2 linked regions of the Tribolium castaneum genome follow. The protein of the gene in region 1 purifies or fractionates together with the protein of each later gene. This does not show direct contact. Links are inferred from orthologs where the notes say so. Each region holds a gene or a part of one and is shown on either strand. Other genes may lie near its edges. The genes, in order: V-type proton ATPase catalytic subunit A and ATPsyngamma.

Region 1 (8,296 bases):
GAGGAGCGGTAATAATCGGTCACAATCATTTTTTTTTATCAATTATTTTTTTGTACACAACATTGTTTGAGTTTGAACTTCAAAATCGATTAACTCTGTTTATTAAAATTTATCTGTCAATTACGTAATGTGTTGTTTTTCCCAATTTTGATAAACAATTACGTCCTGCGATTAGACAACCGAGACCGTGGTATTCAAATTCATTTCTTTACGTGTTTTTTGTTTGCACCCCTTACATTTATGAATTACGTGTTTCACAAAAAATTAAACCATTGTTTACTAAGCTATTTTGTTAATTAAAATCGATGGGAAAGAAATAATGAAAACTGTTTAGCTGCAACTTTGACTAAATGTCAAGATCGTGTCAGCTGACCGTCTTGTGACACTTGCACAAATTTGATAATCTTGTGAGTTGGGTTGGTGAGGTTTTGCAAGAAACACGTAAGTTTTTGTTGTTTTATTAATTAAGTTTTACCCTTTGACGCCACTCTTTAAACCCTTGCAAACCCCACGCGTGATTATAGGAAAATAATATTTAATTTCGCACAAAATATCGATCAGGCAAAATTTTGAGTCGACCCAATTCCATGTTGAATTTCATTCATATTCAGTGAACATTCCTCTCCCCAAGGTTCAATTCCCCTGAAATCGCCGTATTCTCGCAAGTTTTAAATAAACGCAGCCCCCTTGATGTAGCAAAATTAACAAAATTTGTAGGCGGTTCCTTTGCCAAGTGATCGGGCCCCTAATTTGTATCGAGCGGCACTCCCACTTCACTACAAAATTCACGTGACGGTGCCCACTCTCGTATCGCGCTTTACAACAATAGTGTACCAAACTTCTGTTTTCACGTGACTTTTTGATGGAACTTTAAACCAGGTTGTCTTTTGTGTATTTTAGTAAAAAAATCCATCAAGATGACCTCTCTACCAAAGATGGGTGATGAAGAGCGCGAGAACAAATTCGGATACGTGTTCGCGGTATCCGGTCCTGGTAAGTGGAAAAAATCCGAGGTCAGGGGTTGCATGGGGCACTTTTTCAGTCGTTACGGCCGAGAAAATGAGCGGAGCGGCTATGTACGAGCTGGTGCGTGTGGGGTACTCCGAACTGGTCGGGGAAATTATTCGTCTGGAGGGCGAAATGGCCACTATCCAGGTATACGAAGAAACTTCAGGTGTTACGGTGGGTGATCCAGTCTTGCGAACTGGTAAACCCTTGTCGGTGGAGCTGGGCCCAGGTATTATGGGTTCGATTTTTGACGGTATCCAGAGACCGCTGAAGGACATCAACGAGCTTACGCAAAGTATTTACATTCCTAAGGGTGTTAATGTGCCATCGTTGTCGCGTACGACTAAGTGGGAGTTTGCCCCATTGAATATCAAGGTAAAAGTTGTGATTTGTTAAAGTTGGAGGTTTATTAATAGTCGTTTGGGCACAGTTGGGGTCACATTTGACAGGCGGTGATATTTACGGGATTGTCCATGAAAACACTCTCGTCAAACATAAAATGCTGCTACCGCCCAAAGCCAAGGGGACTGTCACATACGTCGCCGATCCCGGAAATTACACAGTCGATGTAAGTATTTTTCTGTATAAAAATTGGCGGCTTGAGGGTTCACAAATAGGTGAAGAGACACGAATATAAAAGCGAAATTTCGTTAAAACAGCAATAACCAAATTACGGCGAAAATTATGCGATTTTGGCCTAAAAACATGCTTATTTTGAGGGATTTGAAATCTAATGCAATTGATGAGCTTAAAAGAAAATTTACAAATGTTCTAAAGGGAACGTACAAATTCTATAATCTTACCTTATTTGACAAAATCGATTATTTAAAGACTTTTGATGTCAACAAAGGATGAAATATTAAAAATTATACACAATACCATAAAGTAAAATCTTGAAATTTGTTTAGTCTTGAAAAAATTGAGAGATCTATAGATTATTTGCGATTTTGATAAAAATAGTAGTTTAAGTCTGCTAAAGTATGCGACTACTGATTGCAAATGCACATAAACTTAAGATTCTGTTTAAAATAAACGCCTTGCAACATCTATTAGTGATAATGTTTAATATTTACTAATCAATCAATAGACATTCCGGAATAATTTAAAATATGCACGTATATTCTATTTATCTGTTAACTCTGACGTTATTTTTTGTCTTATGATTATGAATCATGTAACAAATATCTTATAATTTGATAATTCCATGTTTTCTCAGATTTCTAAAACAATAAATTTCAAGACTAACTTTTTGTTGCTCTGTGTCGTTATCAAAATAAACATTAGGAATCTGGTAATTTGCCAATTTAATTGCAACTAATTCTTGTAAACCGTCTCTAAAAGTTCTCTACAGCAACCATAATCCGTTAAAAATATTTGCATAATTGTTTGCTGTTTTAAATCGATAGTTTATTTTCACAATGCATTTTCTGTTAATTAATTTTCCATATTTTAGTCATCAAAACTCTTCAAATAATAGACTATTTAAATATTGTTGAATTCATCATTAAATCACTACTCAACAAAAAAATTTTTTTATCCTTTTTCTGGTTCTAGATAACCAAATTAGCTTTTATTTTCAAGATACGCACCAGCCCATCGACAGAGAAATCTATTTAAAGTTAAAACAGTGAAGACAAATTCCTGTAATTTTTTGATAAAAATAAAAAATTAAAATTAAATTATTATACGGGGTGTAACGAAAAGAGATCTTTTTTTTTCATAAACAAAAGAGATTTTCGAGGTCAAAATAAAACGATTTAAATCCTGGATTTAACCCAACTTACCTCTGCTGTACTAAGTTGCACCGTGTAAAAGTTAGAAAGCGCCAAAGTTCAAAAATTATTTTCGAATTTTACTTAGTAATTTTAAAATGGAATTATAGATTTTAATGAAATTTGAGACAAGTAACTTGTCATCAAAATCACATGTTTTGGTGCTATTTTTTTAGTTTTTTAAATAAATTAAGTAGAAATGTCAACAATTCAGACGTTGTTTTTTCCAATTTTTCCATAACGGCAAAGTAGATTTTAATTAATTGTAATGAGTAGAAATAGAACGATTTTTTAAAATTCACATTTTTATGAGGAAATTGTTTAAATAAATAACTAATTACATTATAGTTATTTAAGCCAAAATTAAAAAAAAATTGAAAAAACAATAATAATAGAGGCGAACAGACATCTGAAACTTTGGACACGTCGACTTAAATATTTTTTTACTCTAAACCGATACAAAAATTGTTCAAAGGAAATGAGTCTTTCTAATAAGTAAAATGTGTTAAATTGTTCTTAGGTAAGTACTTTATAATAATATAATAATAATAAAAGAGCCAGTATCAAAATATGTGGAATTGACAAAAATAAATAAATCTAATCTAAAAACAAAACAACAAAAAAAACTTTTAAACGTTATCACGATAATTGTGATTGTAGTTAAAATTTAATTTGCCATGAACTCGAGGTTTGTCAATGCAAAACTAATGGCTACCTAATTCGAATTATTTTAATTCTGGATTATATCTTAATTTCTCGTTCTGTATACGACCAGAAATGTTTGAAACTTAATTGAAAAGGTCAAATAGAGAATCAAGCTAAGAATAAATTTCACACAAACCAGCCATGGTGAGATTAATTACCCAAGCAAGTTCTGTATCTTGACAATAAGAGCTAATCAAAACTTTTTTGATTATTTTCGTGTTTAGCTAGAGAAAATATTTCGGAAATAGCTATTTTTGAGTTGTGATATTATTTGTGGAACTTTGAACGTTCAAATGTTTTTTAATTTTAATTATAATTAAAATTTAATTTAATTTAATATTTAATTTTAATTATAAAAAGCCACTACTTTTAATTATTTTTCATTTGGGGAAAAAATTAAAAATTATCATTACGCTACAGGAAGTCGTCTTGGAGACGGAATTCGACGGCGAGAGGACCAAATACACCATGTTGCAAGTGTGGCCTGTGCGTCAGCCCCGTCCTGTCAGCGAGAAATTGCCAGCCAATCACCCCCTATTAACCGGTCAACGCGTACTCGACTCACTTTTCCCGTAAGCCCCCTTTCAAAAACTAGTCCCTTTTCTCTACCAATTTTTATTTAGGTGCGTCCAAGGGGGTACCACCGCCATTCCCGGAGCTTTCGGTTGCGGTAAGACCGTAATCTCGCAATCTCTCTCCAAATATTCCAACTCTGACGTTATCATTTACGTCGGTTGCGGGGAGCGTGGTAACGAAATGTCTGAAGTATTGCGGGACTTCCCCGAACTGACAGTCGAAATCGAAGGCCAAACAGAGTCTATCATGAAACGTACCGCTCTTGTCGCCAACACCTCTAACATGCCTGTAGCCGCCCGTGAGGCTTCAATTTACACCGGTATTACACTGTCTGAGTATTTCCGTGATATGGGTTACAACGTGTCGATGATGGCCGATTCCACCTCGCGTTGGGCCGAAGCTTTGAGAGAAATTTCCGGTCGTTTGGCTGAAATGCCCGCCGATTCTGGATACCCCGCGTATTTGGGGGCCCGTTTGGCTTCGTTTTACGAGCGTGCAGGGCGTGTTAAATGCTTGGGTAACCCTGATCGTGAAGGTTCCGTTTCTATTGTCGGGGCCGTATCGCCCCCTGGTGGTGATTTCTCTGATCCCGTCACCTCAGCTACCTTGGGTATCGTACAAGTGTTCTGGGGGTTGGATAAAAAACTAGCCCAACGTAAACATTTCCCTTCGATCAATTGGCTGATTTCCTACTCTAAATACACGCGCGCTTTGGACGATTTCTACGATAAAAACTTCCAAGAGTTTGTCGCGTTGCGTACTAAGGTCAAGGAGATCTTGCAAGAAGAAGAAGACTTGTCCGAAATCGTGCAACTGGTCGGTAAAGCCTCCCTAGCCGAGACCGATAAAATCACTCTTGAGATTGCCAAGTTGCTTAAGGAAGATTTCTTGCAACAGAATTCGTACTCGTCGTACGATAGGTTCTGTCCGTTCTACAAGACGGTGGGTATGTTGAAAAATATGATCGGTTTGTACGATATGTCGCGACATGCTGTTGAAAGCACCGCGCAGTCTGAAAATAAAATCACGTGGACCGTGATCAGGGATTCCATGAGCAATATTTTGTACCAGTTGAGCAGTATGAAGTTCAAGGACCCAGTTAAAGACGGCGAGGCGAAAATCAAAGCCGATTTTGACCAGTTGTACGAGGATATTCAACAAGCCTTCAGGAACTTGGAGGATTAAATTAGTTTTATTGTAGGCCGTATATTTAACCTCACTATAAAATTGCCGTCTTTCGATATTAATGTACAATATGTTTATAAATGAATTAGTTCATAGGTCTAAGTCCTATAGATTAGAGGTGAGGGTAAATTGCTAAATTTCGTCCCTTCATTCCAGTTACTTTTAAGGAATTTTTATTTTCGTGTTTCCGTGCAATTATCAGCTTTCCAGTATTATCGGGACCTTTTTTTCTTTACATTTTATTTTTTCGTTATTTACGCATATTTCGATGTTGTATATTTTATCATGTTATTCAAACGGCTACTTGTACAGTTATCTGTGTTAATATTAAGTGAACTAGCTAGAAAATAGCACAATAAATTGTTTTATTGTAAACAGAAATAAAAGCATTGTTGTTTCATATGCGTTTTTATTAAGTCTTAATTTTAATGCTCTTGGAAACACTTGCTTTAATCCCGGAAAGCTCCCCACCATATCTCGTCATTTCGGTTCGCGGCTCACGAACCTAAAAATAGCGCAATTAAATTTAAGAAAAAATACTAAAAGTTGACATACAGCTCCTCTCCTTCGTATTTTTGCTTTTCTAAACTTGTTCCTATGCTTCACTCTTGGATTTCTTTGTTCCTTCTTTCTGTGCGGCGTGAGACCCTTATTTTTGGCAATCTGGTAAGTTATAGCCCTCTTGCCAGGATCTACAACAAAACATGACTAAAAAATCGCAACAAACAAAAATCAAACCATTCTCGGGAACATTTGCCTCTTCGTCTTGCATTTGCTGTTCATTATCTGTTGCTTCTTTTTCGTCCACTTCTGGTTTAAATTGGACTTTTTTCCCTGCTGGTTTCTTGTCTTTCTTTTCCGTTTTGTTAACCAATGTGCTCAACACCTTTAATGTTTTTTTCGGAACTTCTTTTTCTTCTTCATTCAAGAGTAACTCAATTTGGGGCTTAATCACCTCTTCGAAAACTGGCGTCATTTGTGATAACAGTTGTCTGTATTGGTACAAACGTTTTATGATTGGGTGGTTTTGCACGTTAACTCTTGAGGCTTTCAACAGTAAATACATGTTGATGTTAACGCAATAACTACAATTTTGTGAATTAGGAAAAATAAAATAGAAAATTGAGAAAAATACTTTAAAATTAATTCGTGGTGAGTCACCACAAACTCCATTGCTGAACAGTTGGGGATTTGCCCCTTTTTAAATTTAACCAAAACTGGTTTGAGGAAGTCTCGAGCGACAACCATTTTTTCTTCAAAATCTTCAACCAGTCCGAAGAATTCTGGCGATTCCTTTTGCAGTATTTGTAATTTTTGCCTTTTACTTAATTTGGAAATGTCGCTTTTGATCAATTCTTCCGACACTTGTTTATCGTCCTCAATGACCTATCCACGATTTAGTAAAAAATCAAAAAATTTAAACCCTACCTTTTTGGTGGGCACATCCAAGCAAAAATCATCATCGTCTAGCTGTTCAGCCAACTGTTTTTGTAAATTCCTTGCTTCCTCTTCCTCCAATTCGGCCAAGTGGGCATCCTTACCTTGGAAGCCCCCATAGTCAGGGTCTACGTAGTCTGTTGAATAAAACTTCCTCTTGTCTTTGCCCCAGGCCCTAATATCAGGCAAATCGTCTTGGTCCTCTTGCTCCTCAACGTCACTCAGTGCAATATCACTTTGGTCATCGTCATCGTCAGTGCCAGAACCCACCCCAAACACTTCCCCCTCACTGTCTGAGTCTTTAGATTGTTTGTTTCGCACTTTCTTCAGAAGGATTTTCTCGTTTTCGGTATAATCCTCGTCAGAATCTGTAGGGTTGTAGTCACTTTCATTTTCGTTAAATCTAGAAAAAGGAGTTATAAGTGTTACAAAAAAATAATGTAACACCACCTTATATGAGACATGCTTTCACAAGACTTCAAACTTGTCCACATGCAAAAAGTGAGGTTGTGTAACGTAATGACGGGGCGGGAGAATCAAAAACCCTAAACAAAAATAATTATCGCAACAAAAAATCAATTTTGTCTGTTTTTGTTGTGAAAATATTAAAGTAGATTCATTTATATGGCGATGAGCTATTAAAAAATTGTTAATTTTTTAGGAGCATAAAATTAAAGTGAGCGCGTCCTTGGGTTAGCGCAACGCGCGTTGACAGATGTGTGAAATGTGATGGCATTTTTATTTCTTGTAACCGCCTCTTAATTATTGTTATTTTCGGTTGATTACACAAGTTTTAAACATAAAAACCATGTGGCATGAGGCAAGACGACAAGAACGCAAAATTCGTGGCATGTTGGTGGACTATCGGCGAAGGGCAGAACGACGCCGTGATTTCTACGAAAAAATCGTATTGTTCCCTCATTTCCTATCCAATTTAATCTACTGTTGTTTTATAGAAAGCCGACCCAACTCAGTTTTTACAAATCCACGGAAGACAATGCAAGATTCACTTGGACCCCTCCATCGCAGCTGCGGCAGACAGTGCTTCGGCAATGTGAGCCCCTATATTACACTAAATGGGCGACAATCAATTTGTTACAGGATGCCGTGGCAAGGACAAGCTGATAATTTAATTGACCGTTTTGATGTAAGAGCACATTTAGATTTTATCCCCCCTGTTAAGAAGGAAGAAGAGGAGGAATTGACGTTTGAAGAACGGCAAATTAATTACGAACGGTACCGGATTATTGCCCAAAACTCGTTCCTTAGCATCAATGAGGAGAAGTTTTTGAAACAATTGCATCTGGAGGAGCAGTTTGGCTACACTGAGTCCAAGTCAAAGAAGGAGCAAAGGACTGGAGGTGCTAGTATTGGGTTTAACTACGAGGACAACACTGGTGGGTTTTAAACGCTGTTGGGGTAAAATCGAGTCGGAATTTTTAGCACAAACTTTGGCCCCTGACTACCACAATGATGAAGAATCAGACGGCAATTCTGATTCTGATTTGGACGTTGATTTGTCCATTAATGTTTCAAAAATGGATTCGGTTCAAGCACACGAAATGAATCGCCACGGCAGAAACTTTGGGATGAGCTCAAATGATTTTTATTCG
Region 2 (9,229 bases), on another chromosome or scaffold:
CTACGGCCTTGTGTACACAATTGACAGCAGCTTGCCCACCCCCTTGTACCTCGCAGACGAGGTAAGTGCCCCCATTGTGCCCCCAAGCCCTAAAAACCCCTTCCAGAAGAGCCACCCGGACGCCTTCATCACCGAACGCGCCCGTCATGACTTAAAATTTCTGACTGACTTGGGCCCCCGTGTGGCCGGGGGCTACGAAAGCGAAGTCCTGGCTGCAAATTTTTTCCAGCGCGAGATCAACATTATTATGCAAAAAGCTCACAAGAACCACCGAATTGAGTTAGATGTCCAAGTAGTCACAGGGTCTCATTATATCGAAATGAAGCCCCACGGGAAATTCGTCCCTTACTCAAACTTGCAAAACATTGTCGTGAAAGTTTCCGGAAAAACAAACGCGAGTGTTTTGATCAACGCACACTTTGATTCGGTCCCGACAAGCCCCGGAGGGAGCGACGATGGGATAAACTGTGCCGTGATGTTGGAAGTTTTGCGCAAAATAACACAAGAGCCCCAACGGCCGTTAAACAATTTGGTTTTTCTGTTCAACGGGGCGGAGGAGACGGGGCTGCAGGCCGCCCACGGGTTCATAACCCAGCACAAGTGGGCCAGAGACTGCAAAGTCGTGATAAACCTCGAGGCTGCGGGGGCCGGCGGGAAAATAATTTTATTCCAGACGGGGCCCCACGCCCCCTGGTTGGTCAACCACTACAAGAAGGTGCCCCACCCGTACGGGCAAGCCGCCGGCGAGGAGATTTTCCAAAGTAATCTGGTGCCGTCCGACACCGATTTCCGGATTTTCCGGGATTATGGAGGATTAGTGGGCCTGGATATGGCGTTTTTCAAATACGGCTACCGCTATCATACCAAATACGACGACTTCGAGCACATTCCGCTCGGGTCGTTCCAGCACGTCGGCGATAACACTTTGCATTTGGTCCGCAGTTTGGGGAATGCACCTGAAGTGGCGAATCCCAAGGATAATCCCGGAAAATCGGTCTATTTTGATTTTCTGGGATTTACGATGGTTTCGTACACGCAAACCGTCGCAATTGTCGTTAACTCAATTGTGGGGATTTTCTCACTGGGGATATTTGTTTTAAGTATTCACAATTTCAAGTTGGGTGAGTGGACTTGAAATTGGGGCGAAATCTGGGATCATTTGATTATTTCAGGGTATAATCGACAGACTCTTAAATATTTAGCGATGACTTTCGGGGCTATTATCGGTGGGTGGGTTTTAGCAGCGATTTTTGCCGTTTTGTTGGCACTCCTTGTTGACAAAATCGGGTATTCCATGAGTTGGTACGCCAATCCGTGGCTGATTTTCGGACTTTATGCAGCGCCAACCGTTGCACTTTCGACTGTTTTGTTGCCGTTCATCAGCCAAAAGGTAACAAATTGGCAAAATTACCTCTTTTATCCGTTTTGAAACCCGGATTTTTTTCACGTTTGCTTAAGTGTTTTAATCCTTCACCTTATAACCATAGAAAAACTACAGTCATTAGTCATTACACAAAGAAATGCCTCAGTTACATCGTCAAGTAGAAGCCGATAATAATTTTCTAGTTTAAAAAATAAAAAATACAGTTTTTCAATTATTCTTTATAAAACTCAAGTACGGAAACTAAAAACTAGGATACGACACGACGTACAAATAAAACGGTTCCCCTTCTAGGTAGTTCTAGCCTCATAGCGCAGGTGTTCCTATTAGTCTGTCAGTTTTGAGAGCAAAGAAATAAAAAATAAATGAATTTATATAATGGTGACAAAAGGCAAACAAAAAATTACGAGTATATAGAATTTTTTCTCACTAGCAAGAGTTAAATCAGATAAAAGCAAACCTTTTACAGAAAATTATTACAGTAAAACCTCTCAATAAAGGACACCGATGGGGAATTTTTAATTGTCCGTTGTGGAGAGGTGTCTACTAATGGGAGATGGGAAATTTTAATATAGGTTTTGTTACGTTCCAACAAAACTGTCCGTTGTAAAGAGATGTCCGTTATTCGGAGGTGTCCATTAAGGGAGGTTCCCTGTATATTAAAAAAAAACTACCAATTTGCACACCGTCCTCTATTTTTAAAAGGGTGCAAATACGTATGGTTGAAGATACAAAAAGTTATAGACTACTTATGTTACAGAACTATATCGCTTGAGCATTTTTGAATGTCTTGGGTCTAAACCGTTAAAGATGAGGTCTTGTGGTACTTTTTTGTAGGAAATTTAATACTCTACAACTTTCTTGTATTAAATTAAACCGTATTTGCAGCGTTTTTTAAAATTTTGATTGGGGAAAGCGCTTGTTTGGCTTGGCCTACTTGTTTTCCCGACGGAAATTACATTGAAGACGATTGAAATATGCTTCCCCGAATTTTTAGAACTTATAAAAATTCATTTGGAGCTCGTTATTGTTGCTAAAGAAAAATAACAAATATTCTATAAAAACGAATTTGTGACCTTTTTGAAGGATGTGGTGGCGTTTTCAAGTTTGTATTGGTGTCAGAGTTGGAAATACTCTGTAGTAGTAACCATTTTTGGTTTTCTTTGATACATGTCGAACATGCACTTTTTTATGAGATTTTTTTACTGTTTAAATTTGTTCTAAAAGAAAAAATGGTCTTTAATTTAAATTAATTTAAAACAACTTGGGAGACGGATTGAAGCGATCTTATTTTTACTCCGGCACTAATTTTTGGGCAGAATATCGAGTTATATTGTACCATGCCTCGCCTCCTAGTATTTAGTCCTCTGTAAATTGTACCTAAATTTATTTTCTTTTCTTTTGTACGAAACAATATTAAAACTAATGATGAATTCACCTTTTAGAATTTGACTCACAACGTGAAAGCACAAATACAAGTGCACTCCGTGCGTGTTATCTGGACTGTGATAATGATTCTTGGGACCATTTTACAAATCAGAGCAATGTATGCACTCTTAGTGCCCGTATTGTTCAATACTCTAGGATTCATAATAATTTACATGTTCCGAATTCAACACACAAGTAACGCAACAAAATAATGTAAACAGACAACAATCAGAATGTTTCAGTACGAAGATGGCAAGTCATTTATGTCATCAGTTTGGTAATCCCAACGATGTTTCTGATGTACACAACTTTAACGACTTTATCACTTTTTATCCCAGTTACCGGGAGAATTGGACCTGATAAAAATGCTGACCTTTTAATCGGACTTCAAGGACTTCTATTTACAGTTTTAATCACCTCGCCTTTCGTAATTAATTCGCAATACCTTTTGTTTTAAATTTAGGCAAAAATTTCAGGTTGCCCTTGCAACACTTGTACGGAATTTCAAATACGTGCTGTATTTTTTGACAGGAATTTTTATTGTCAGTTTTATCATAATGTTGACACCTCTGGGATTCCCCTATAGTGGTAATCGGGATTCGCCGGCTCCTGAACGTTACTGGATTTTGGTAATAAGTTACAGAAAAAATGTTTGTGTGGCATGACTGGTTGCTTGTAGCACACACGTCGTGTTTTTCACGACGAAAAAGGAGTCGAAACTAAACGCGACTCTGGTTATTTTTTCCTCAACATGGATAGAAATTCGCCACAAATCGTCAGTAAATATGTGAAAGACCTTGCAAGGGCTCGACCTTTGACCGAAGACTGCAAGCAATATTTATTGTGTGGTTTACCCCTAGTTCATTCGAAAATGGTTCAAATAATGTAAGACTCAACTCGTAAGAATTGTATAATTTTTTAAAAACCAAACTTTAGTGAGTTTAGTACATGGATCCCTGCCGGTCAGCCAGTATTACCCGAACCGACCAAACTCGAAGTATTATCAAAAGAAAAAATCTCGACTGATGTTTTACGCTATGATATTCAAGTGACAGGTCCGGACCGCATGGGCCTCTACTTTTCGCCCAAATTCGGTGTAAAAGTACTAAATATAAGTCTTGTCGACAAAATGCCCTCAGATTCGGCGAAATGGAATGATCGCGATTTGTATTTTATCATCCACATTTACGGCAAAGAGGCAGCTCCTCTCAGGTTTAGCTTCGACGTGCGAGTCCCGCCGAACATTACCGAAGTCACGACCGAGATCGCCATTTCGGGCATTTTCGTCCACGACGAGAAAAACCGAAAAGTCCCCCACTACGCCCAACTCATCAACTCGTTTCCCGATTGGGCGGACGTGACCGCATGGCTCGGTTCCTACGAATCATGGTGGATTTAAAAAATGAGATGGACCAGTGAACAAATTTTATTTGATGTTAATTAAATGTATGACAATAAAATGTCGCTGAATTTTATGTAAAAGTTAAACCGAAATAAAACAGGATCGATGTCCGGATCCAGTGACTTTGGGCTTACGTGGTTTTTATTCTGTTCGACCCTTACATACAGCATTATACTATCAAGTTTTTACGGGGTATTTACCTAAAGGGCCGAAGCACCAGAGATGATTTCGATCAGTTCTCTGGTGATTACGGCCTGTCTGGTACGGTTGAACGTTAGGGTGAGTTTGTCGATCATTTCGCCGGCGTTTTTGCTGGCGTTGTCCATGGCCGTCATCCGGGATGACTGCTCGCTGCAGGCGCCCTCTTTCATGGCGTAATACAGAAGAGAAGCCAGAGAGAATTCCAAGTAGGACTGGATCACTTCATCGTCGAGGGAGTCGTAGACCGGGAGCTTGGCAGCGGTCTGCGAAAAACCGATTTTGAATTCAACGCATTTTTCAAACCCAATCAAATTAATTACTTAAAAACCACAGGAGAAAAACAAGGAATGGCATTTTTCTAAAAAATATGTGTTTATTCTAGAAAACAATGGAGAAAGTTAATTATCAATTACATATCTGGATTATGATCTTTTATCATTACTTTTCTCTAGTTGCTACTTGTAATTCCAATTCAATAAAAACATCGAATTTTACCAGATTATTTTTTTAAATAACGTTAATAGTTGTTAATTAGATCGGACATTAGAACCATAAATTACATTAGCCATTAATTTTATGAAGCCCATGAATAATTATTAAGAGGACAGTGGAAGAATTATGGGTCGTCGTGTCCACCTAAAAAATCGCTAGCCCACCTTTGTGTCCACCCGAAAAATTACCAAATAGTTGTGATTTTTATGCATATGAGTGCAAAATTTAAAACCGCTTTAAATTAGCAAATCAAGTTGTTTACTACTGATATCAAAAAACTGTTATGCTCGCAATAGCATCACAGATAATGCGACATGAAATGACATGGGGGATACATTATTCAATCTGCATGTCTAAAAAATAAATATGCCATCATTTATTGATTGCAGAGTATGATTTCCTTTTTCTCAGTTTTATTTAGGACCTTGTGAGCAATACATATGATATTTTGCATCTTTACAACTTTGTAAAACAATAAATTTATATAAATAAGAAAAGGTCATCTGAAAGATTGTTTCGCGGTTTTTGTAAAAAAAGGGAAAAATTATCTGTTAAAGCAACGTAAGATTTGTTTTCTTTAGTTTTTGATAAATGGATAAGTATGAGAAAAGCCATATTAAGAAAACTTGTTAAGTTTCTACTGAAACCGATAATAAGGAATTATAGTTATTTATAAATCAGATTCAGAAGACATTTTTTGTAACTCAGTGGCAAACGAAAGACTTAAATTTTGGTTCTTATTAATGTAATTATAATTAATGTTAATCGAATCAAAAATAGCGAAATCGAAGTAAACTTTGAGGACGTTTAATTCTTTTAATCAAAATTTAAGAATTTTGTCGCAGTAGGTCAGTGATTAATAATTCTTATCCAATGTAAATTATTACCTTAATAATTATTAACAACAGTTTTAAGTACATGTATTACAAACTGGAAATTAATAGAATTTTTCCATAGAACATAATAAAATGATAAAAAGTTGGGGATCTTAGTATTTTAATGTAAGTATTCCAATGTGTCGCCTGCATTTTGATTGCATTTAATCTTTTCTAAACTTGGAAATTTTTGCTGGGTGGTACCAAACAGGTACAGCCATGTACAGCTCCAAATGGTAAAATAAAAAGTTTATTAATTTGGTAACAGATAAATTAAATAAAATGTAAACAGTCTTAAAAAAAAGATTATTTAATTCAGAAAAAAACCTGAAAACTAAAAAAGATGTTTTTTGAATATTATTTCCCTTCAATAATGAGTGTTAAATAAAAAATGGAGCACTTTTGGCCCTGTAATGAACTCTTGCCTTCATCATGAAAAAAACGTTTTTGGGAAAATTTTTGAAAAACTTAAAATTGGTGAAATTTTTCGTATACATCGTCATATCTTCCTTCTGGATCAAGCTAAACTTCTTTTTTTGCAAAAGATACATATTAAATAAAGTTTTTAACGTAAATACACAACTTTTAGTTTGAAAACTGGACAACACTACAGAGTACAAAGACTAATAAAAAAATATCGCATCTCGAAAATTTCACTAAATATGTAATGACAAAAGGCTTTTTTTATTGATTGCTTGTCGCTGTCAAAAAAGTACTAAAGTAATATTTCATCAAAAAAGAAGCTAAACTGCTAAATACAAAATAAAAGTTGCTCTAAAAAACTAATAAAAAAATAAATTACCTTAACTGCGGCCAAGCTGAAGACGGGCAAGGTCTGGGTGCTGTAGGACACGACCGACTTGAACCGATTAAAGACGATTTGTCCCGACCCAAACGCATACTGGGAGTTGAGGATAGCATCGGCCAATTTTGAGGCATCGGTGAAAGTTGGGGGCAAACGCCCGATTTCGTTGCATGCCATGATAATGTTTTTGCCATACATGCGTTGCAAGATAAGTCGCGACTTGTCTCCGACGCACACAACTTTCAAATTTTGTTGGTCATTATTCAACTCATTGCGAATAAGACGAGCAACACTGGTGTGGACAGCTCCACAAAGACCTAAAACATTAAATTTCGGTCCAGATCTTTCGTACTGGGGGCGTTTACCTCTGTCTGAAGTCATTGCGATTAAAAGCTTCTGGGGAAGGTCCTCAGGGGCCGAAATTTCGGCCTTCTCGTAAAACTGGGTGGCTCCACTTCCGATGGGGCGCGTTTGTTTCAGCTCGCGTTCGGCACGGGAGTATTTAGCGGCCGACACCATCTTCATTGATTGGGTGATCTTTTGGATGTTTTTGACGGACTTGAGGCGAATCGAAATGGACTTAAGGGTGGCCATACCCCTTTGTTGTTGCACATTTTGGGTGACTAAAGGCACCAAACTACCGAAACGACCCAACATGATTGGATCTGAAATAGATTATGTAACCGGAATTTATATGCAGAAAAATCTGATAAAATTCGATAATGGGTATTATGTAATCGAAAGCAATGACATGTTAGATGGGGAAACAAACATTAAATTGAGTTAATTACGTAAAATAGCGAAAAAAATGGAAAATTTTGATCTTCGGTACTAACCTTGCGACTTCGCCTGGGTCAGAAACTGCAAGAAGTGGCTAAAAAATGAACTATTTGGAGATTTGCAATAATAGCTCTTATGTCACCTGACAATAAAGTTTATAAAAAATTGGTGACGTAAAAAGTGACATGTAAAAGTAGAGGGAGCTGCTACAATTTATTTGTGATTGGAGTCCTATAAATTTTTAGCCTTACAAAAATAAATATTCAAGTTCTTACACCAACAAAACGATAGATATACACGGCAAAGTTAATATCATCATTTTATATTAGTTTCAAATTTTTACATAAGAAAAGACGAGAAAATTTCATATTATGAGATTTTTAGTAAATAAGATATAATGAGGATGAGATGTTGAGATGTGAGGGTTGACAATTTGACCCTCTCAAAAATTACAAAAATGTCCAAATTGAAACTTCTAAAGCTAGTCCAAGTCTTTTCGCCTCAAAAGGCACTATTTTCCTCGTCAAGTGGCACATCCTTGCAAAACAGTTTCATATTTTCGTACCGGTTATGTCACCGAGTGTCACCTAACCTCAATCTGTCACGTCCGGCGCTAAATTTTCGAAAATATTCGGATATCGCCGACAAAAAACACATTAATGTGGGTACAATTGGACATGTCGATCACGGAAAAACCACCCTAACCGCTGCCATCACTAAAATATTGCAAAAAGATGGTCTTGCCTCCTACGTCTCGTACGACGAGATTGACAAAGCCCCCGAAGAAAAGGCGCGCGGAATTACGATAAACGCGGCCCATGTGGGCTACAGCACGAAAAAGCGCCATTACGCTCACACTGACTGTCCCGGGCATGCCGATTTCATCAAAAATATGATCTCGGGGGCCTCCCAAATGGATGGGGCTATTTTAGTCGTGGCGGCTACCGACGGCCAAATGCCCCAAACCAGGGAACACCTGCTGCTTGCGAAGCAAGTCGGGGTGAAGAACATTGTGGTTTTTGTGAATAAAGCCGACTTGGTGGATAATGAGGCAAAAGATAATTTGTGATTGGTTTATGTTGTAAGCTGGGATTGTAGGTTTTAGAGTTGGTTGAGCTCGAAATTAGGGAGTTGTTGGAAGATTTCGGGTTTGACAGTGAAAATGCACCAGTGATTTGTGGGTCTGCGTTGAAAGCTTTAGAAGGGGAACAGTCAGAATTTGGGGAGAAAGCAATTAGGAAATTGTTGGACACTCTGGATGAGTATATTCCAGTGCCTGAACGTGATTTTAAGTCACCTTTTATGGTCCCCATTGACAACACTTTCCTTGTCCCCGGGAGAGGGACAGTCGTTGTAGGAACTATTCATAGAGGAATTGTCAAGAAAAACGCAAGTTCTGAACTCGTGGGTTTTGACACAAAATTAAAGACAACAATCGGAGATATACAAGTTTTCAAAAAAAGTGTCCCTGAAGTGAGAAAATAAATCATTACATCACTTTGATCTCACGATGAAATTTCAGGCAAAAGCTGGCGAAAACGTCGGTCTTTTGCTACGAAACGTGAAACTGAAAGATATCCAAAGAGGGATGCTATTGTGCCAAGCAAATAGTGTTACGTTATCGAATAGGTTTGCTGGAAGCATTTACTTCCTAGCGAAAAATGAAGGCGGTAGATCGAAACCTGTCACGGGAAAATACATCCAACAGTTGTTTAGCAAAACCTGGAGTATATCGTGTAGAGTTGATCTAGGTTTGTTTGATATTTTCTATAGGTTGTTACCTCATCACATATTTGTAGCTAAAGGTGTTGAAATGATAATGCCCGGTGAACATGGACAAGTTGAACTTACACTTTTATCAAAAA

The links.
Region 2: the proteins of V-type proton ATPase catalytic subunit A (region 1) and ATPsyngamma fractionate together in Homo sapiens (co-fractionation; 3 studies listed by BioGRID). This does not show direct contact. The link is inferred for Tribolium castaneum from reciprocal best matches to the Homo sapiens genes ATP6V1A and ATP5F1C.

What each region holds. Positions count from the first base shown.
Region 1 is NC_087402.1:9,099,429-9,107,724, forward strand, and holds V-type proton ATPase catalytic subunit A, read left to right. Parts: upstream 1-295; 5' UTR 296-441; intron 442-900; 5' UTR 901-917; coding exon 918-993; intron 994-1,042; coding exon 1,043-1,383; intron 1,384-1,438; coding exon 1,439-1,576; intron 1,577-3,905; coding exon 3,906-4,057; intron 4,058-4,108; coding exon 4,109-5,246; 3' UTR 5,247-5,646; downstream 5,647-8,296. Other genes in the region: Sas10 (something about silencing protein 10), read right to left, coding at 5,659-5,751, 5,802-5,938, 5,985-6,331, 6,382-6,632, 6,675-7,086, 7,134-7,177; CLK4-associating serine/arginine rich protein, read left to right, coding at 7,492-7,590, 7,640-7,737, 7,785-8,080, 8,127-8,296. UniProt on the Homo sapiens protein: Catalytic subunit of the V1 complex of vacuolar(H+)-ATPase (V-ATPase), a multisubunit enzyme composed of a peripheral complex (V1) that hydrolyzes ATP and a membrane integral complex (V0) that translocates protons.
Region 2 is NC_087396.1:15,930,903-15,940,131, reverse strand, and holds ATPsyngamma (ATP synthase subunit gamma, mitochondrial), read right to left. Parts: upstream 7,575-9,229; 5' UTR 7,421-7,574; intron 7,250-7,420; 5' UTR 7,242-7,249; coding exon 6,950-7,241; intron 6,902-6,949; coding exon 6,582-6,901; intron 4,676-6,581; coding exon 4,412-4,675; 3' UTR 4,218-4,411; downstream 1-4,217. Other genes in the region: endoplasmic reticulum metallopeptidase 1, read left to right, coding at 1-61, 107-1,121, 1,173-1,390, 2,827-3,004, 3,052-3,236, 3,286-3,438, 3,489-3,694, 3,746-4,208; elongation factor Tu, read left to right, coding at 7,822-8,415, 8,463-8,837, 8,887-9,115, 9,164-9,229.